3 linked regions of the Mytilus edulis genome follow. The protein of the gene in region 3 purifies or fractionates together with the protein of the main gene of each other region. This does not show direct contact. Links are inferred from orthologs where the notes say so. Each region holds a gene or a part of one and is shown on either strand. Other genes may lie near its edges. The genes, in order: intraflagellar transport protein 22 homolog, intraflagellar transport protein 88 homolog and intraflagellar transport protein 25 homolog.

Region 1 (6,942 bases), on a different chromosome or scaffold from region 3:
ACATAAACTTAACATTAACCAAGATAACTAAACATAGACCAATGAACCTTGAAAATGAGGTCAAGGTCAGATGAACCATGCCAGGCAGACATGTACAGCTAACAATGCTTCTATACAACATATATAGTTGACTTATTACTTATATAGTTTAAGAAAAATAGACCAAAACACAAAAACTTAACACTGTGCAATGAACCGTGAAAATGAGGTCACGATCAAATAAAACCTGTGCGACTGACATAAAGATCATAAAATATTTCCATACACCAAATATAGTTGACCTATGGCATATAGTATTAGATAAAAACTTTGACCACTGAACCATGAAAATGAGGTCAAGGTCACATGACATCTGCCCGCTAGACATGTACACCTTACAATCGTTCCATACAACAAATATAGTAGACCTATTGCATATAGTATGAGAAAAACAGACCAAAACACAAAAATTTAACTTTGACCACTGAACCATGAAAATGAGGTCAAGGTCACATGACATCTGCCCGCTAGACATGTACACCTTACAATCGTTCCATACAACAAATATAGTAGACCTATTGCATATAGTATGAGAAAAACAGACCAAAACACAAAAATTTAACTATAACCACTGAACCATGAAAATGAGGTCAAGGTCAGATGACACCTGCCAGTTGGACATGTACACCTTACAGTCCTTCCATACACCAAATATATTAGCCCTATTGCTTATAGTATCTGAGATATGGACTTGACCACCAAAACTTAACCTTGTTCACTGATCCATGAAATGAGGTCGAGGTCAAGTGAAAACTGTCTGACAGACATGAGAACCTTGCAAGGTATGCACATATCAAATATAGTTATCCTATTACTTATAATAAGAGAGAATTCAACATTACAAAAAATTTGAACTTTTTTTTCAAGTGGTCACTGAACCATGAAAATGAGGTCAAGGACATTGGACATGTGACTGACGGAAACTTCGTAACATGAGGCATCTATATACAAAGTATGAAGCATCCAGGTCTTCCACCTTCTAAAATATAAAGCTTTTAAGAAGTTAGCTAACGCCGCCGCCGCCGTAGCCGCCGCCGGATCACTATACCTATGTCGAGCTTTCTGCAACAAAAGTTGCAGGCTCGACAAAAATTAAGGCTGAAAATTAATTGCGTCATAGTATAGTTATCAAAGGTACCAGGATTATAATTTAGCTAGTACGCCAGACGCGCGTTTTGTCTACATAAGACTCATCAGTGACGCTCATATCAAAATATTAAGCCAATAAAATGGTTTTGTTTTTAGGTGTGGCGATATTTATGTTGGGGCACATACATCCTTTATAACATTATATCAACTTGAGCATAGTTAACATAATAACACATCACTATTTAACTCAGATTGTTTTTGTATAACTTGCTAATCGTTTGACTTTAAAAAGCTTACCTATGCTTTGTTATACCAAAGTATGAGAGCTTACTTCTTACGAATCAAAAATAAGTGCACAATCACTTGCTATTAAAACGGGGTGATACACAGTTTACATAAAGCACTAGCAACTGAAAGTTTCTGTAAATTTTGCGGAGATAACATAGAATATTGTACGCATTTCCTTTTATAATGTCCCCAATATAAAAACCTTCGGGGGAATTTACGTTTAAGTTTTCAAAAATTGGTTAAAGTTAAAGTTAATGTTATCAAATCAGTATCATATTTAATTAATCAAAATAAAATTGCTGATGCCAACCAAATTTGTAAATATATGAGATAAGCATTTGAATATAAAAAAAAGGAGATGTCAGATGTGGTATGATTGGCAATAAGACAACTATCCACCAAAGTTCAAATGAAGTGGATGTAAGTACATTGTAATTACAGGCAACCGTACGGTCATTAACAATGAGAAAACCACAATTTAAAGTTCAAAACAATGCTTAGTGTCAGTAAGTCTACCATAAATAATGGAAGAACTATACAAAAAATAGACTTGTAGTTGTAGATACAGCATATAATGAATTTTCTCTTATTTTGCATTATGTTTTATTTACATTATTTGTCATGTTGTATATATGTCATGTTTGTTGAAGTACACTTGGAATACGCAATGCCATCTTTTTTTATATATAGGTGCTTTTTATCCAATGAAATATTTTATTTGATCTAAGATGACCAACCGAAAATAAGTACAGCTGTAAATCTGACTTGAAATTTTGTAAAGTATAGTGCCGTTTTGCAAAAACTGAACGTTTTCTTCAAAACACTGCAAAGTGCTTGACTAATTGAATAGCGCGAAGCTTCCTTAGGACGTGACGTGATTATCATTATGACGTTACGTCATGTGGTATCAGGTCCGTTCGCGCCCAATATAGTTTCGCACCCTACACGTTCGCACCTCACATTTTCGCCCCCCACGTCCGTTCGCACCCTACATGTTCGCGCCCAATTTTTAATAAAATTTAAGTTAAATTGTTAGAAATTATTCATATGAATAATTGTATTCTATTTGAATAAAATTTGAGAATTTATTGAATAGATTTTTTCTTTTATCAATCTGATGATTAATTATTAAATGTTGATTATGTATGATTATTGCTAATTGGTATTTATGACAATTTGGTGTTATTGTTTACTGTTGTTTATAAATCATGATTGTTGTTTTAAATTGCTTTGATGTAAATACTAATAAAATAAATATATAGCAATACACTTACCATGCATACCAGTTGTTCAACATGTTGGACCAGATACGCACTAAAATTGACTAGAAACAGTGAAAAACAAATTATTTCAATACACTAACCAAAACACGATTAAGAATTATTCAACACACAAATGAAATAGTTGTTGCCAGAATAACATAATCCGACTTAAAAACAAAGACCTTTTTTTTTATAAACTTGTCATGACACAAAAAAACTTGTCAGTATCTCGAATTATTTAGAAACAATGGCATATATATTTATACCAATACACCTAAAAAAAATCGGTAAAATTGGGTGCGAACGTGTGGGGTGCGAACGAACTTTGCAAAATTTGGGTGCGAACATGTGGGGTGCGAAAGTGAATGGGGGCGAATGTGGAAGGGTGCGAACGTGATTGGGCGCGAACAGACCCGGATTCACGTCATGTCATGTCATATAAATAACGTTATTTTTTGAAGAAAAAAATAAACATCTATACTTTATGTTTGGTAATTCTTCAATTATTTGAGTTAACATGCTGTTATACAAGACTAAATAACAATTTACTGTTTTTGGTATTTTTTTACTGAAATTGACCCGTTTCTGGACAATGTTTTGAAATTTAGCTACGCACTAAGAGGGTTAACTCACATTACATATTAACAAGAAACAGGGCTGCTGAAACTGGTCTAGCTTGATTACAGATCAGTATCATTAACTCGGTCCTCTCCCAAGGTAATCAATGCTTCATATTTATATTGACACCATGAACCCTATTTTTGTTAATAGAAATTAAAAATTGTAAATAAAAATTTTGAATGTACAAGAATTTTTCAATTAAAAAAAATCCTCTACAATACATTTAGCAGCAACATATACATGTACAAAAATTATTCCATAACATATATGGTACCTTGTAACATATGTGGCAATCAATGAAATATTTGAGAAATCAAACTTTCTACAAGACTCAGCATGATATAACTTTTGCGGCTTTCAATCTGAAAATTTAAGATCACGTGATCAAACAAACCGTAAAAGGTGTGTGTCGTAAAATATATTACTTTTTATATATGCCTTATTTCCAAATCTTATGATTGTACGAGCGAAAGTAAATGATAATCGTTGTGATGATTTATCAAGAACCTTCCTTACTCTCTCAAGATTTAGAATATTATCAAATATTTCCAATGATCACCAGGTGTCGCTTTAATTCCACTTCCTTAGCGAGATGTACACATTCCTTCAATCTGTGAATAAGAAATAAGTCAGTTGGTGTAAAATGATGTTTAAAGTAAAAATTCTTGTAGTTGGACCTTGTGAGGCAAGTTTCACAACAATTCAGCTTTAACTTAAGTTTTCGAAATATATTTATTTTCAAGATAAGGTTTTCAAGTGTGTTTTAAAACTGAAACTGAAGAGACTTCAAGAGTGAATATTTTTTACAGGTGCTACTAATACCAGACTGCCAAATGATCCAATGAAAGTTTTTGTAAAAATTGTCCACACAAAAGTCGAAAGGAATATGTGACATACCCATCTGTATAATTTCAGAAGTGGGAATTGAAATGCATGTGCAGATCCTTGTAACGTAACTTGTCAGACTTTACCACCGACTCCAATATTTCATATTTTGTGGACTGCCTGTGCTAGCATGCTTGTCTCAAGTTATGTGTTAAGTATTGGAGGTTGTGGGTTCCAACCCTTGCTGAGGTAAACCTCATTTGAACCTAAGACTTTGAAATTGATATAAACGTATTAACACTTTTGGTATTAAGCTGAATCTTGGAAATTGTCTCCGAATGACCTTAGATCTACTCCAAATCACCTTTTGACGTGAGGCAACAATCACTTTTAAATTGTGACGTCAAATATTTTAGATTATGATGTCAAAGTTTACAGGAACCTGTGTGATTTTACGTAATGGCGGACAAATTTGCATACAAGTGTAAATACGTCTATTTGCTGCTTTTTTGCAGGGTGATTGATCTGTGTTTTACCTGCTCGAATTATAATAATCAATAACTATATCTTTGTAACTATGTTTTATTCTCAAAACTACATATGTACAATTATCCAACTCTCAGTTTATCACTTTATGGCTGCACATGCTGATCGTATCTATAAAGTCATGAATATTTATTATCTATGTACATGTAGGCTGGTCAAAATTGTTTCATACGCAATAATGACCAGCCAGTACATTTTGTAATAATATCATTAACCAGTATTAAAAAGATAAATATAACAAGGGTTCTAGTGTGCTGGGATTAGTGCAAGGCGTTTTGGTGAGTTCCAATTCCAGCCAGGGAAGAATAAAAATTCTAACATTGTTGGGCTGTTGTTTAGACGAATTACAAAATGTATATAAATATATAAAACGTCTGAATATTAGTGAACAAACTTTCATGCAAGGGTGCTGGATTGTTACAAGTAACAATACATGTAGACAATAAATTAGTTATATATATAAACATCTAAAATGTGCACAAAACAACACTGAATAATAAAAAAGAAATATATCTGTTATTATCTATCAAGCTTTTTTGATTAAATTATAACAATCTTGAAATTTAACATGTAGAAATTAAGTCTTGTAACAACACTTCATGTGTAAATTGTAATGACCCTGCATACCAGAGGTATCCACTTTGCAATATAGTGTATACATATTTTACAGACATGCAGTACAGCACACAGAGACTCAATTCCATTTCAGATTCTATTGATTTATGAAGTCACACAATTTATCATTTATGTGTATATTAACTTTGTTAAAGAAGATCTTGATAATTTTTATTTTATTTTACAGAGTGGTAAAACTGTGTTAGCGAACTTCTTAGCAGATGCAACAGATACTTCTAGTGGTGAATACCATCCAACACAGGGATGCAGGTACAATCTAGGTGTATTATTGTCATTCAAAGCTTTCAATAAGCCAAAGTTATTAACCATTTGAGAGCATAAGAACTTTTAAAAAAAGGTGTAAATAGAATGTAAAATTTCATCTCTGATTCTCAGATACAATAAGGTATCACATGTACCAATGAGACAACTCTCCACCAGACATTAAATGACATTGACTTTTTCATTTTCTGAAACATTATTAATCTTAAGTATTGTTAGTAATAAAGGAGTAGGTTCGATAAGGACCTAAAATGGCCCCCTTTTTTAGCCTAAATTTCAAATTGGGATTTGATGACCAATATCAAAATGAATCATAGCTAATACAGTGATTAGATAGGACTTAAGTCTTTTTGTTGTAAATTTATGTTTTGCATTTTAACATGATGTCACAAATAGTACTCATATTGATTTTCCACGCTAAAACAATGAAAATGGGTAAATTTCTATTGATTATTTGGACAGGAAACATACAGTGCATACATCGACAAAAAAGATCTTTGACAATGATGTTTGTAATGACATTTTAGCTTGAATATCAAGGTTGTCAATGGCTGCGCTTTATGTTTCCTGATCTTAGATTTGGCTGAAATTTTACCGATTTTGTCAAATTTCGCCAAAATCTCTTATTTTGACCTAACTGGGATGTAAAAATCAACGCTTCAAAATAAAACTATGGTAAAAATAGTTCTATGTAACTTTGTCACATGTCTTTTAGTCAACTTAAGGTGGTATGGGAGTCTAAAATAAAAATAATAGAATTTGTTCATATTTTGCCAAAACGTAGTATCTATTGATATATGTTCAAAAATATAATAAAAATGATAGGTCACCGTGCATTTTCTCAAATTACAGGTTGTAACAAAATGACACATTTTGTATGGATTATACAGGAAAAAACACCATTTTGTGATTAGAAACCAAACAAAATGATAGAATTGTAAAATAAATGCTTTGAGAATATCAAAAGAAAGGATTGGGTCACCGTATGTTTTTTCCGGCTAAAATACGTAACAAAATAGGAAAATTCCATGTAGATTCCTTCAGAAAATGCAGTTCTAGAGTTACCTCCACTTAAAATGCCAATTTAAAAAACATTTCAAAACAACCAGAAATAATCTACACTTGTAAAAATATTAATATTTATAAGTTATATTCTCATAAATTGGTTCTTTTAAATGATAATTCACATTAAATATCTGCATTCCTGCATCAAATTTTGCTGATTTGATAGAAAATATGGACCTTAGGTTCTCTGTTTTTTACAATCCAAGATGGCGAAAGACACCACCTTTAAAAAACATTTATAATCTTGTTATATTGAACTTTATTATATGGCCCTTCCTTTAGATTCATTTGCATCAACTAGATATGTTGG
Region 2 (7,574 bases), on a different chromosome or scaffold from region 3:
CTAAATTATAATCCTGGTACCTTTGATAACTATTTAATTAACTGTTACTTTTCAAACGCTTATAAAGCTTCATTTCGAGCACCGATGGCAAAACTATTTTTTAAATGCGCATATGATGCACGAAATTACTTCGATACTCTTATAAATTGGTATTATTTTACATTAAAAGAATTAAAGTGAGAGAGAAAGCTGTATGAATGTTACGAAATAAAATTCTATCTCTGTCAAAATATAGTCTGCATGATTTTGTTTACTGGGCGAAGGACATTAATTTACATAAAGGCATTAATAAAGGCATGAAAATTGTGATTGATAAATATTTAAATCATAAAAAGGTTAAAACTCCTTGACTCATTTAGCACTATGTTCCTTCTTTTCCGTTGGATTGATGTAGTGTGGTTTGTCTTAGAGTGTTGAGATAAGTGAACAGTTCCTTGTGTATTGAATAGTATTTCTCAAAGGTTTTCAATTATGACGTAACTCATTTAGACAATTTCTCGTATTACTTAGGTGTACCACTTTCAATTGTCTTTTTTTTTTATAAGTATGTATGTTTTTAAACTTATAACATGCATATCACCTATGAAAATCAGAGATTTTGTGTCATGATTAAAAAAAAAATATCCATTCTTACCGTTTCTGTAAATTTCTCATAGAACAAGAAAAGTTTGAATTAAATTTTTTTGTTGAGAAAAAAAATCGTTTCCGAAATTAATAGCATCATGATGAATTATCTATGATGCGCTTATTGAATATATCTCAATACAAACATTATGAAATATTACTATCTGTACAATATCTTATTTTGCGCAATTGCAGTAAGGTACTGCAGTATATATCATTATGATGATATTTTTACGCAAAATAGAATTTAGTGATGCTGGCATTAGTTTAAAGGCAGGAGAAGTTTACCGATGTTTTTGTATATGTTATTGTTTATAATACATGTAATAATGTTTGTATTCTATACGCCCTCCTGGGGTCCTAATTGGTAAATAAAATTATTCTATTCTATTCTATACCCAAGCGCCTTTGACGTGTACATGGTGTATTTCCAATAAGTTTGTATGCTATACGCCCTCCTGGGGTCCTAATTGGTAAATAAAATTATTCTATTCTATTCTATACCCAAGCGCCTTTGACGTGTATTTCCAATAAATTTTTAAATTTCGTTTATCTATGAAGACGATACAATACAAGGTAAATCGAATGAACCCCCAAAAGGAACGAGACACGATTCGAGGCAATGTGCGCGAAAACGTATGATAACATCTCCATGCACACAAAAATAAATTGTGTCTACAAGAAACACATACAGATACGCTCCACTCCAAAAGATCTGAAAGCCATAATATGAAACGTTGGTGATTCAGAAAAAGGAAACAGAAAATTTTGAAGCTAACATAATTACAGGTCAAAGTTTCCTCTTAGATTTCATCAGTCTTAACTTAGGCGCAATTATATTACATAATGACCGTCATAAGTTGGGTACATTCAGTCATGATTTAACTATATAGCAACCACAAATCTTTTGGTTAACTGACATGCCGCCATCAATGTCAGCTGAGTTGCAAAAAAAAATTAAGTTTAAATAAAATGATCACACTTAAAATTAAAAAAATAGCGAGTAGCCTACCAATACCACATTCGAGCAAACCATGACCTTGGGTTGTTTAAACTTCTAGTATGTCATTTAATCTAATTTTTAATCAAAACCCATCTTCTCAATCTTATATTCATATGTTATCCTCTTATAGTTGCTGTGATTCCCTCGGTTTTAGTTTGTAACCCGGATTTTTTTTCTCTCAATCCATTTATGACTTTTGAACAGCGGTATATTAGGGACGACATCAAAAGATCAATGTAAGATAAAAAAAAAAAAAAAAACTTAATTCAAATAGTTTGGGGGTGGGGGTTGAACTGCTGCAAGCTTTGGTTATCCGACATTGATTTTTACATATATCCATATGGGTCAATCAAATTTTCCCAAATTAAGTCAATAGGGGGGTAGGGGGGTCAGTGAAAAAAACTATTTGAATTAAGTTTTTTATCCTTCATTGAACTTTTGATGTCGTCCATTACTGTTGCCTTTATTCAAAATTATCCATAATGATTATATAGTTATTCTTGAACCATTTGGGTTTTGGTTATTCTTTATCTTTTTTTTTACCATAATGCTTAAATTTGATACATCTATATCAGTATAAGTCCAGGATTATAATTATTGTCAAATGTGTGTTCAATATATTATTCAAATGAAAATGTGACATTTGCTCGCTTCAATCTGTTTGTAAAATCAGTCAAGTGAGAGATAATGAAGCATTCAGTTCAAATGAGATAGCAATTTAAAGCGGATGAAACATGTAGACAACCTGAGTTTATCTTTCTTTTAAAGAGAAAAACGATTAGATCCATGACAAAAGTTGTTCCTCTTGGTATACATGTAGTTGTAAGATGTTTGCCTGAGTTGATCCATCTGTATACGAATGGCAAAGTTATCTTTAACAGCATACTAGTCTTGTGTCTTGACAGTAGTTATAAAGGCGACAGTAATTTATCAATGTTCAAATATCGTATATCAATTAGTAATACACAATTAATAAGCTGAAAATCACACAAGTGCAAGTCATGATGATTCACTTCCTACTGACGTATCAAAAACTGTGTGTGCCGGAAAAATGTTTAAAGTCACATGATACTTCACTGAATTAAAACAAAGTTGAATATGTTTTATATACATTGATAACTTAGTTTTTATACTATAAAACAAGTGAACTTGGACTTCTTTTAAAGAAAATCCTAGTTTAAATCAAAATTTTCAATTATGTACTGATATAGAATTATTGTCTTTCCGTACTCGAATTCCGCCGATCTTTTTTACGTATGCAGTGACCCTAACAACAATATCTCTCGTTAAAAGCTCGCCATTTGCAAAGCGCAAGTGTACATATGAGTGGGAAAGAAAGTAAACAAACGTGCACATGGTGCAATAGGGAGGTTAATAGTAAATGATTCTTAAATAAAAAAATTAAATACTCCAAATCATTTAACAACTGTGATGAAAAGGTGTATATAATTAACAAATGGGATGCAAACTCGAAAGTTATAATCAGTTTACCGTCAACAAATTCAATCACTGAATATAATATGGGTGTCTAAAATACGTTATAGATTCGTAATAAGTCTTAATAATGAGCATTTGAGGACTTCATTCTGTATATATGTAGGACTCTAAAGTGCGATGGTCTACGCTAAAGTGCGATGGTGTCTCATGCTAAAGTGCAATAGTTGTTTGTTGCTAAAGTACGTGTGTTCATGCTAAAGTACGATGTTATATAACGATAAAGTGCAACGAATCAATTGGGGAAGGTTCGAAGGATTAAAACGTTGAAGTACATGGATGTTAAAAAAATAGTATTTTTGCAAAATCTAGTATGTTATTAAACATGTTAAAGGTATAACATATGTACATGTGAAAAGCTTTATAATTTATAATATACCGGTAGGCTTCAGTGATTGTTTTCAAATTTAGAAGACCGACCAAATAATAATTGCTAAAAAGGCATGCAACCCTGTGTAAACTTTGTTCAGAGCACTACGGTTAAATATTACACACTCCGCTACTTTTGCATAGACTATTTCTGTACTAAAAATATGTAGTACTGGAAATCTACTTTTAATATTCAGTACTATTTTGTTACTCTAAAATTATTGTAATATTTAGGTACATGTATTTTACAGTACTTTATTTGTACTTGAAATTAAGGTACTACAGATTTTTGGTTACTACCGTTACATTTTCAGCATTTTGAAAGTTTTTCTATTTCAAATCTCTTAAAGTTATGATTTTCAAACATGAAATATTGTGTTATTTCTGTACCAAAATATTTGGTACAAATCAAGTACTGTAAAATACAAGTACCTAAATATTACAACAGTTTTAAAGTAAAGAAATAGTACTAGATATTAAAAGTAAATTTCCAGTACTGCATTTTTAAGTACAGAAATAGTACCTATGCAAAAGTAGCTGTGTACATTGCATGTTATAGAAAATGGGAGTTTTGTGGCAAATAAAGACATTTTTTTTATATATCTGCGAACAAAACACGAACTTCATTACTATTCATCTATTTGACCATGAGGTGCTATGGTTTATTGTCTACAAAATTCATAAACAACCTAAAACAATAAAAAAAAAAAACTCGTGCTTAAATCACTAATCTAGAAGGTGTACTTGAATAAGTCCATTCTTTTTACTAGCTTTATAGATATAGCAGTGGTGTGAGTGCCAATGAGACAACTCTCCATCCAAATAACAATTTATAATAGTAAACCATTATAGGCGATTGTACGGCCCCCAACACGGAGCCTTGGCTCACACCGAACAACAAGCTATGAAGGGCTCCAAAATTACTAGTGTAAAACCATTCAAACGGGAAAACCAACGGTCTAATCATTATCTATATATATATATATATAAAAAAAAAAAAAAAAAAAATCTTTCGTTTATCTATTAAGCACAAAATATGTCACTCTAACTATAGGAGTACACGGAGAAAGGCTGCAGGTATATTTTTTTTTTTTTATAAAATGTGCATACGTCGTCACAAGCTAGGGTAACGAGTCTGGCGTAAATACAAAATCTAATCCTGGTATCTATGATGAGTTTTATTTAGTGATTTTTAAAATATTGTATTCTGCAGCTGACATGCTACTTAAAGAGCAACGCTTTTGTTTAAATATCTTATTTTCCTCCGTCATATTGCTGAAGTTGGAGAAGCTTTTTAGAAAGCTAACACTCGACGCTGTTAAACATGTCGTCTCCGAGTTTGTCCTAGTATTTATATTCAGGAAAGCGCTTCCGTCATTATGTCTGGTTCCTTGTCAGTGTTGCATGCCTAGCTCATCCAACATCAATAGCCTAACAGGTAAACGTTTGTCCCAAATTTTGCATCCTGATTTAGCGGAAATATTATTCACAGTAATATCCTGAGATGTCTGAGCCACAAACTAAAAAATCCGCCATGACAACACTGGACCAGCTAAAGGAATTAACTGTCATAGTTGCAGACACTGGTGATTTTGAAGGTAAATATTTTTTTTACATGACAAAAATTATGAGATCTTGTCCATGTTGTTGTCGCATGTCATTTATAAACATGTACAGTATACACAATATGATCAAGTTAATATGACACAGGTGTCCCAGTTACATATGGAAAAAAAGCAAATTCTGTAAAATATTAAGTAATTTACAACTATTGGAATTTTTTTTCAAATTGATTTAAAAATTTTCGTGATTCGTCAAAATATCCTTATCATGATTTGTCAAAGGTCTTAGTTCTAATTATCATTACCGTTTTTTTTTGGAAAAAAATTAATGTGATAAATTAACATATTTGTCAAAATCATTTGATTTTTTTTAGGCACCTTTTTTTATGCATATTTTATCGTTATGCTCCAAAAATTACCGTTAATGTCGTTTGGCAGGAATTTTTACTGTTATTCGTCATGAAGGTACCCCCATTACAACCCTCTTTTATACGTCTGTTTACAGGACGTATTATGGTATGTCTGTCCAGCATCAACATGTCGGAAAATAACTCAAAAACGGTTTAACGAATTGTCATGAAACTTTGGCATGTTTGGTGAATTATATATCTATTAACGTGTGATCCCATTTAATTTTCATAACTTTTACATTTGACATTGTAAGTTTTTAAGTTTTGGAGGGTTTGTTCGTTAAGAATAGGAGGATTTTCTAGTTTTTGAACAATACATGACATGTAACTCAAAATGGTTCAGCAATATGCAGGAAACTTTGGTGTATTGTTTATATCTATTGACATAAGCTCCCTTTCAATTTTTTTATCAATTTTATTATTTACGTTTCAGCGATTTTATTCATAAAAAAGGGGGGGGGGAGTGTTCATACAATGTGTTGAGCAGTTATCATGAAACTTTGGTTACTGGTTTATATCTATTTAGATAGCATTCCTTTAGTTTTCCTGAATATCTGATACACTGTATGACAGTGATAATTTTTTGTACTTTATTCTTTGAAAAAGCTATGGCCGCATCATGAGCTCATGGCACAGCTGTTTATTTATTTAATATCAGCAATGTCAACATTAATAGCGTTTTTTTTGTCACTGATCATGCTGATGAAGGTAAAGGTAAAGAACTTCTATAATTATATCAATTTTATATGGCTTCACTTGAGTGTCAAACAAACCGCTAATCAACAATGTTTACCTTTGGCAAACTGCTGTTATGTATTACATGTACTTTAAAAAGCTTTGTGAAATTGTGTATCTGAAAACACTTCAAAGTTCATGTTTAAAAATGTATACAGAGACAGAAGTTATATGTCATGTTTTAATTATTTATCAGAAGTTATTTAATTACTTTCATAGCTATGAAGGAGTATAAGCCTACTGATGCTACAACCAACCCTTCTCTGATATCAGCAGCAGCAAATATGCCAGCATACCAACATCTTATTGAAGAGGCTGTTACTTTTGCAAAAAAAAGTGGAGGGTAAAATTAAAATTAATACTTTGTTAAAATACAGCAATGTAAAGTGAGTCTTTTAATCAATGTAAAGCTAGAATGTAATTGATGAATATGTGATGAAGACTCATTTCAAAAGAAAAAATATGTACAATAATAAATGTCTTATATATTTATATGTTGATGAAATGCACAATTTGGTGTATCCAATTATCGATTATTGTTCTTTTTTTACATTACATTAAATTATAAAAAGTAATATCACAAAAATACTGAATTCTGAGGAAAATTCAAAACAAAGCCCCTAATCAAATGTCAAAGACAAAAGCTCAAACACATCACACGAATGGATAACAACTGTCATATTTCTGACTTGGTACAGGCACTTTTTTTATGTAGAAAATAGTGGATTGAACCAGGTTTATAGCTACATTTATAGCCTAACCTCTCACTTTATGACAGTCATATAAAAGTCCTTATGAATAGTATGAATAGTGAATTTTGAAATCATGACAAAAAAGAAAATAAACTGAAAAAGAAATATAAAAAAAAAATCATCATGCTGTGTAACTGTACTTTAAACATGTCTTTATTATAAGAGTAAAAACAGAAAGAAGACAAGGTATGTTTTTCTCTTTTAACAAACATAAAATATCTTTTTAAATTTTATTTCAATAGGACAATGGAACAACAAATAGAAGCTGCTATGGATAAGGTATATGTATTGTTTGGTTTAGAGATCCTGAAAATTGTACCCGGCAGAGTTTCAACAGAGGTTGATGCAAGGTATATTTTTTTTTTGCAGAAATTCAAAACATGTGTTCCAGTTAATTTTTGTCTTTGTCACTTTAATATGTACGGAGGACGCAAAGTGCCAATTTGATATCTGTACTTAAAATATAAATTGCAAAAGTCTATATTGCAGGCGGTTAGATATAGAATATGGAATAACGATTAATGAACCAGCCACTAACCTTGCAAACATTTTAAATATGTTATACTGTAAAAGCAGAAATTTTCGTGGAAAGAATATATCCACAAAATTAAAAAACCCACAAAAA
Region 3 (7,299 bases):
TGTCCTAGGTGCAGGGCATCAAAATAGTAGTCAAACTATGTACTGATAGTAATGCCACTTCATACAAAATATTATTAATCTATCACAAATGGTCCTATCAAACTAACTTTAGCAAAATTAATCTAAATTCACTGGACCATGAACTAGGGGGCAGAGCCTCAAAATAGTCATACTCTGATATGTACTGATAGTAATGCTACTTTATATTAAATATCAATGATCCATCACAAGTAGTTCCTATGAAACTAACTAACGCCATCATCCTCATTTGAAAGCAATCCCTTTTCTCTCACTTTACACAACTTTTGTCCCAAGCTAGACAAAAACGTATGTGTTTCCTATTTTTAAGCAACTGTCTACAGATTATTTATCATATCTTTTTGAATCTTACTATTAAATCAAAAATGTGAATTTTCTATTTCCTTATTGAAACATTTCCAATGAAACCAGAACAACAATAAAATTTATAACAATTTTGTTTATACGCATAAATATTACACCATGGACGGAATGTTAATAGTTCAAATGACGGATTTATATTAATGTGCTGCTGTTCCGTCTACATGTAGTCTATAAACAGCTGCAAAATGGTCATATGCTGAATCGATTACAACACGTAAATGTTGTGCCTGTACATTGCCTAGATTTATTTCTTCTGACTGTAGTTGACCATCGTGAGAATTCATCTCTGAAAAGGAGAGAAAAATAATTTTGTATAATGATCATGAGAATTCATCTCTGAAAAGGAGAGAAAAATAATTTTGTATCATGATCGTGAGAATTCATCTCTGAAAAGGAGAGAAAAATAATTTTGTATCATGATCGTGAGAATTCATCTCTGAAAAGAAGAGAAAAATAATTTTGTATCATGATAATGTGAAAATATACCCAAGTTTGAAAGGATGGATATGTATTTGCCTGAAAACTGCATTAATTATTTGTATATAATAAATATATTTTCACCCCAAAAACAACTTCATTACCACTGAATTGTCAAGACTATAATAAATTATTTGAAGGTACAATCAGAAATGCATGCAAAATTGCTTCCATTTTAAAAAGTCATTTTATTTGTCTGAATTTATGTAAACATAAAACAAACAAAGATCAGTCAGTTTCAATATATGTGTTTAGAGTCTGAGAATTACTATTATTAGGAAAAATCTTTAAATATCCCAGAGAGTAACTGTTTAGATTTATCTGTTCATTGTTCAATGTTAACAGACAGTCTTGTAAAATTGCTATTTGGCCTGTCAATTTTCTATTTATATGAAGCCCCAGTCCCACTACACCACGATCGCACCATGCTCACTGTGTTCTTAAATTTATTCAGATCATGGTGAGGTCGCGGTATGAGCGGCATGAATACATATATATCTACACGATCCCACTACGATAATCAAAATTTTCATTTTTTTCACAGATCGTAGTGCGATCGTGGCCTAGCGGGACTGCGATATTACAGTACTAAAAAAATCTTAAATTTCATTGATGGAAAATTTAAACGAATAGTGTATTTTTAACTCTTGATGTTTAAAACATAATCATGGGTTTGTTATGAATGACTATTTTGCTGGCCTTTTGTTCTTTTATGGATGTGTATCTTTGAGTTTGAATTACCCTCTGATTTTTTTTTATATTTGAAATGTTTGCTCTTACAGTCTTTTACCACTAGGATTATGTCAAAATCTGCATACAACAACAAACATTCTGAGAGTACTGCATGGCAATACATAGTCCCCTAACAGTAAAAAGTTCTTTGTGCTGAACAAAATGCCAACTTGATCTATAACTTGTCATGGTGTAAACTATATATAACAAATATCTGGTCAATATGTTCAAGCTGAAGCATGACAAAAAAAAGTGTGTAAAACTAATTATTTGAGTGAACAAATTGGAACCTGATCTGTAACTCGTCTCGATAAAAGAATACACCAAATATCTTATCCATATCTTCATGCATGAAGAAAAAAGTGTGGAAAACTGATTTGCCGATTGACAGACAGAGTGCAAACCTAAATTCCCCTTCGACTTAGTTTGTAAGGGACTAAGAAATGAAACATACCTATTTCTTTTATTGGTTCAAAATTTAAAGGTTCACTGTCTGTACTTTTCTCTAAGATCAATCTTCTAACTAAAATAGAAATAACATTTCTTGTATTAAAATACCTTTGTAGAATGAAAAAGTATTTCATTTTATCTTCAAAGAATTTCTAATTCAATAATATTAACTGTTGGAATGAGACACAAATTGAGTACTTTTTTTTTTCTAGTTGCTGTAAACATGGTAAATATCTAAAAAGATATTATCACGCTTTTGACTACATATCAGTTGTTCTTTCAGTTCATTTTTCTAGTTATTGTAAACATGGTATATTTTTAAGTATACATTATCAAGTCTTTAACTTTATCAGTGGTTCTTTTGGTATAAGATAAAACTATCAATATTTTTTTCAATATTTATATAAACTTACCATTACATGAAGCTAATTCTACTTTCGACATGTTCATCATTGATGTGAATTTTATGACAAATTCCTGTGGAAATAAACCTGTTGTTGTCCAGAAAGTTTCTGAATCCCTGAAATAAACAATGTTTTAAAGACTCAAATGACTGGATTGGACACAATAAAGGATAATCAATAATGTAGGTTTATTTTTGTGTATGGAATTGTAGAATGCATGCTAGGATAATAGTGTATTTATTAAACTTTGTAACATACATGTACACGTAAGGCATTAGTATATGTAAATGTTTTCCACACAGGATCACACAAAGAAAAAAGGTACATTGTTTTACAAGGCAAAAAGTATTTTTCTATTTTTGGTATAAATTGAGCAAGAAACAATTATTTATGCAAGTGTCGGTGGGTGAGAACAGTTTTCTTTTATAATGCAGTGTACTCAGTGGTTTAAAATTGAGATTACCCGTCTATAATATTTTCAGGAGGATATTTATCATCACTTGAAGTTGCTAACACAACCTGGGCACCAGCAGATTTTAAGGCAACATCAAACATTTTTAACTTCGTTAGGAATGTTAGGGCTGTTCGGAATATTTATTGTTGTCACCGCAAACAAGTCTTTTCATCCCGACCCGACATCCTGAGAGAGATGATATTGAAAATAAAATATACGTATCAAAAATTAAAAAATAAGTCGGAAATAATTAAGATATAATTAAGATATAATAAAGTTTATCATCAAATGCAGACAAATTCGGTCAACAATAAAAGTAATTGACTGTGGTTAAATTTTTTGACCGGAAATGATAGCCGCCTTTTAAAAATCCGTTCGGAAACTTTCCCCGCCAAATTCCAAATCACTTCATACAATATTTAACAAATAACATGTAAGTAACCATAGGCAAGGACGTATAACTAACACTGTAATATACGTCCTTGCCATAGGTATTAAAAAACTTGTGTTGAATTTTTGAAAGGGTGACACAAAATCATAAAATATACAAGTTGTCTTTTCAGAGGCCTTGAGGCTTTAACAATTTAAAAAACAAAACAAAATTTGAATGAAATAAAAAACACAAGATAAAAATATTTAATGAATGGCTATTTTTTATGGGTCAATAAATTCAAAATAAATTATTGCCATTCATTATAAATAAATTTCTATCAAAAATAAGGCTCAAAGAACTTTTTATATTTTTTATATTAACAATTACAACGTACACACATGTTGGCGTATGAATACACAACGTCAGAGTGGGTGCATCACCATAAAATTGACAACATTGAAAATAAAACTAATACTTTTAACCAATCAGAAAACAGTAGATACACCAAATTTATTTATTTTTAATTACAATTATTCAATTAGTTACTAGCAAATGTTCTCTGTTTTAGCGCTGCCAAGAGAGGCTGGCACATGAGCTGCTGAGGAATCCATGTCTGTTTGCTTAAAATCATGTTCGCTCTCATTACTGAGGGTATTAGATACAAAATGGTTAAATTTTACTGTGATTTGTCAAAATATCCTTATCTTGATTCGGCAGAGGTCTCAAATAATTATTGTTACTGTTATTGTTAATTTTTGAAAAAAATTAACTTAAAAAAATAACATGATTTGTCAATAACACCTGATTTTTTTATCATTTAAAAACAAGTGTACATTTTATCGTCATGCACTAAAAATTACTGTTAACATCAATTGTCAATTATTTATTTGTGATGAAGGTACCCCCATTACCACCCTCATACACATTCACCCAAAGTCAGGTTCACTCCCATACATGTTCCACCTTTCACGCTGGCACCCTACATGTTTAAACGCTGGTTCAGTTCACACACTACACGGTCACAACCTTTTAAAGTGTAGTTCATACAGTGATAGTACTATATATTTATTGTGCACAGAACACTATATGGTTGATAACAAAAGTTCTTGAAAACTTGATTAAATCATATAATAATTATTCCTTCTTTATGAAATAATTTCCTGGAGTATATATTATCCTCTTATAACATGTATAAGATCCAACTGAGTTACTCAGAATAATTCTATACAATGGCATTCTTTACAAAATAATTATTATGCCCAACATTGAACATGTTGAACTAGCAGCTTACATGTATTTTGATTATCACTTATATGAAATTTCTGTTTGTTCACATGATTAACATAATTTTATTATGTAACACAAGTTCTAATACTTTCATTTTATTGGTAATCCGTATATTTTCCCTTTGATTTTACTGCCTAATATTTTCGAGTACCAACGTACTGGCTGTATGGCAATGGATAAAATATTATCTGGTGAAAGTTCCCAATAGAGCTTTTGTTATGTAACAAAAATTCTAACAGATAAAAGGTGGAGCCTTTGTTCTGTCATGTAAGGCATTCTGAACAAATAGATTAGCAATGTATCTATTTTCTCTTTTTAGGTACAGTATAACTTGAATAATAAATAATTATTTTGAAATGATATGAATGGGAAGAGACTTAAGACACATGATATATCTGAAGAAAGACAAAAAACACCAAAACGTTTGTTGTCACAGTGCATACACTATGTAGCAGACAATCTGTGTTATGTTGACTCTTTTTATGGATTGCCAGATTTGATAGCAGAACAGATATTCAGAAAAGCAGAATCCTTAGACAAGTTTGATTTAGATGACAAAAACAGCTTTCATGCACTTTCAATATTTACTACTGTATATGAGGACCTTATCATTTCAAGTTTAAACCTCTGTAACCAATACCTTGGAGTTAATTTCTGTCAGGATCGTTTAAATTTGTTGACATCCCTTAGAGAAATAGATTTGACTGGTTGTAGACTAGGAGATGAACATGATTTCTTGAATGATTTGGGACAACTTCAGAGGTAAGATTCTCCACATAAAACTGCAGTTTGACAGAAAATGTACATGTATGAGGGGCTTGATGGGTTATTTTCGTTTTTCGTGATCAGCGCATTTTCGCTATCGTGATTCGTTTTTCTACAGATTTTTTTTCTCTGAAAAAATCAACTTGTGAATCGTGATGCGACCCCCCCCCCCCCCCACCACCAATCAGGCCCCTCATGTATGGAGTTCATAGGCTTATGAGTAAACACTTGTAACTGCGCTTATCCATTTGGTCAGTTCTAATTGATAGTGCAATAAAATATCTGTTTACAATCTGTGGTATACTTTATCCCCATATATGTCACTATAGTTTCTATTTACTTATTGAAATTTGGAAGTTGAGGTACATAAAGATTGAAAACACCATTTAAAAAAAAAAACTTAACCAGATGCTCTGCAGGGCGCAGCTTTAAACAACCGCAGAGGTCGAACTCTGAACGGTTGGGGCTAGTATGGACACAACATTCAAGCTGGATACAGCTCTGAATTTTGATTGTGATTAAATAGTTGACACAGCATAGGTTTCTGACACAGAATGAATGTGGTCTAATAAACTTAAAATATTTTTTTTTGCTTTTGAACAATTCACTATGCTGTTGAATATTAATTCTCTCAAAAAAAAAATATTTGAAGAAATTTTCTTTTTAATTGAGTTGAGACAAACTTAAGTTAAGAGAACAGAAACTAAAAGTTCTTCAATTTTTCCATTTGTAAATGGGCATAACCCTAGAATGGTAATCAAAGTGCTTGTCATCACTGAATGGTAAAGACTGCTTTAATTTATCAGTTTGTAGTAAAGTGAATATTGCATTGTATATTGTATATAGCATTGATTTAAGTTGATTCAACTACTATTCTGGACAAAGAAAGATAACTTCAATTTTCAAAGAAGATTTCATAAAGCATTAGTTTTAGGTGATTCAACAACCATTCGGGACAAAGAAAGATAACTCCAATTTATTGTCTTGAAACTACAAAAATGCTTGTTTTGGCCCCTTTATTCCTAGACTGTTGCCCCATAACCCACAAAATATATCCCAACCTTCTACTTATGGTATTAAACATTGTGGTACAATTTCAGAACAATTGAAATACTTATACACAACTTTTTGTACTGACACTAGACAAATGCTTGTTTTGGGCCCCTTTAGGCCCCTAATTCATAAACCTAAGGGACCATAACCCCCAAAATCAATCCCAAGCTTCCTTTTGTGGTTATTAATATTATGTTAAAATTTTATTGATTTCTATTTACTTATACTAAAGTTATTATCTGGAAACCATCCGTCTTCGGACGACGCAGACGACGACTTGATACCAATATACGACCGCAAAAATGTTTGCGGTCGTATAAAAAGCAATATGTTATGTTGAAGATAATTTGTATGAAAGTTCTCTGAATTTCATATTAGCCTTGCTGTATTTTAACTCATTCGACAACTTATTACACTTATTATGATATGTACTTGCACTTAATTTGAAGGTTGGAGATATTGTGTCTGAGTGACAACAGTTTATCTGATAAAGGGATCCAGAGATTGACTTGTCCTTACAGAGTGTGTGGTCAGGGACCAGCAGGATTGACTAAGCTGGATGTATCTGGTAAATAGAGTAAAAATATACAATATTGGATTAGAAAAATAAAAATAAAATGATCTGTGAAACATTTAAGTTACCGTATTGAAACTAAAGAAAAATAGAAATACACTCATTCATAAAATAGAGAATGGAAATGGACAATACCCGACCAGGACAAAAAGACAACCAAAGTCCACCACAGCAAGAAAATCCTGCACCGTGAGGTAGACTTCAGCTGGCCTCTAAATAAAATGTGTACTAGTTCAGTGAAAGTGGACTTCACACTTAACTCCTGAACATAATTGAACTAAAATTTTAAAAAAATTCAAGACTAACCAAGTCCAGAAACTTCTGACTT

What was found.
Region 1: the proteins of intraflagellar transport protein 25 homolog (region 3) and intraflagellar transport protein 22 homolog purify together in Homo sapiens (affinity purification with mass spectrometry; 3 studies listed by BioGRID and IntAct, with this or other methods). This does not show direct contact. The link is inferred for Mytilus edulis from reciprocal best matches to the Homo sapiens genes IFT25 and IFT22.
Region 2: the proteins of intraflagellar transport protein 25 homolog (region 3) and intraflagellar transport protein 88 homolog purify together in Homo sapiens (affinity purification with mass spectrometry; 3 studies listed by BioGRID and IntAct, with this or other methods). This does not show direct contact. The link is inferred for Mytilus edulis from reciprocal best matches to the Homo sapiens genes IFT25 and IFT88.

Annotation. Positions count from the first base shown.
Region 1 is NC_092349.1:48,722,722-48,729,663, forward strand, and holds the start of intraflagellar transport protein 22 homolog, read left to right. Parts: upstream 1-3,844; 5' UTR 3,845-3,942; coding exon 3,943-3,984; intron 3,985-5,472; coding exon 5,473-5,555; intron 5,556-6,942. UniProt on the Homo sapiens protein: Small GTPase-like component of the intraflagellar transport (IFT) complex B.
Region 2 is NC_092353.1:50,393,816-50,401,389, reverse strand, and holds the start of intraflagellar transport protein 88 homolog, read left to right. Parts: upstream 1-4,557; 5' UTR 4,558-4,592; intron 4,593-4,843; exon of another isoform or gene 4,844-4,994; coding exon of another isoform or gene 4,995-5,088; intron 5,089-6,416; coding exon of another isoform or gene 6,417-6,540; intron 6,541-7,191; coding exon of another isoform or gene 7,192-7,299; intron 7,300-7,574. Other genes in the region: transaldolase-like, read left to right, coding at 4,995-5,088, 6,417-6,540, 7,192-7,299. UniProt on the Homo sapiens protein: Positively regulates primary cilium biogenesis. Also involved in autophagy since it is required for trafficking of ATG16L and the expansion of the autophagic compartment.
Region 3 is NC_092344.1:108,773,243-108,780,541, reverse strand, and holds intraflagellar transport protein 25 homolog, read right to left. Parts: upstream 3,097-7,299; 5' UTR 3,021-3,096; coding exon 2,929-3,020; intron 2,582-2,928; coding exon 2,475-2,581; intron 2,135-2,474; coding exon 2,066-2,134; intron 689-2,065; coding exon 540-688; 3' UTR 461-539; downstream 1-460. Other genes in the region: leucine-rich repeat-containing protein 42-like, read left to right, coding at 4,941-5,341, 6,847-6,965. UniProt on the Homo sapiens protein: Component of the IFT complex B required for sonic hedgehog/SHH signaling.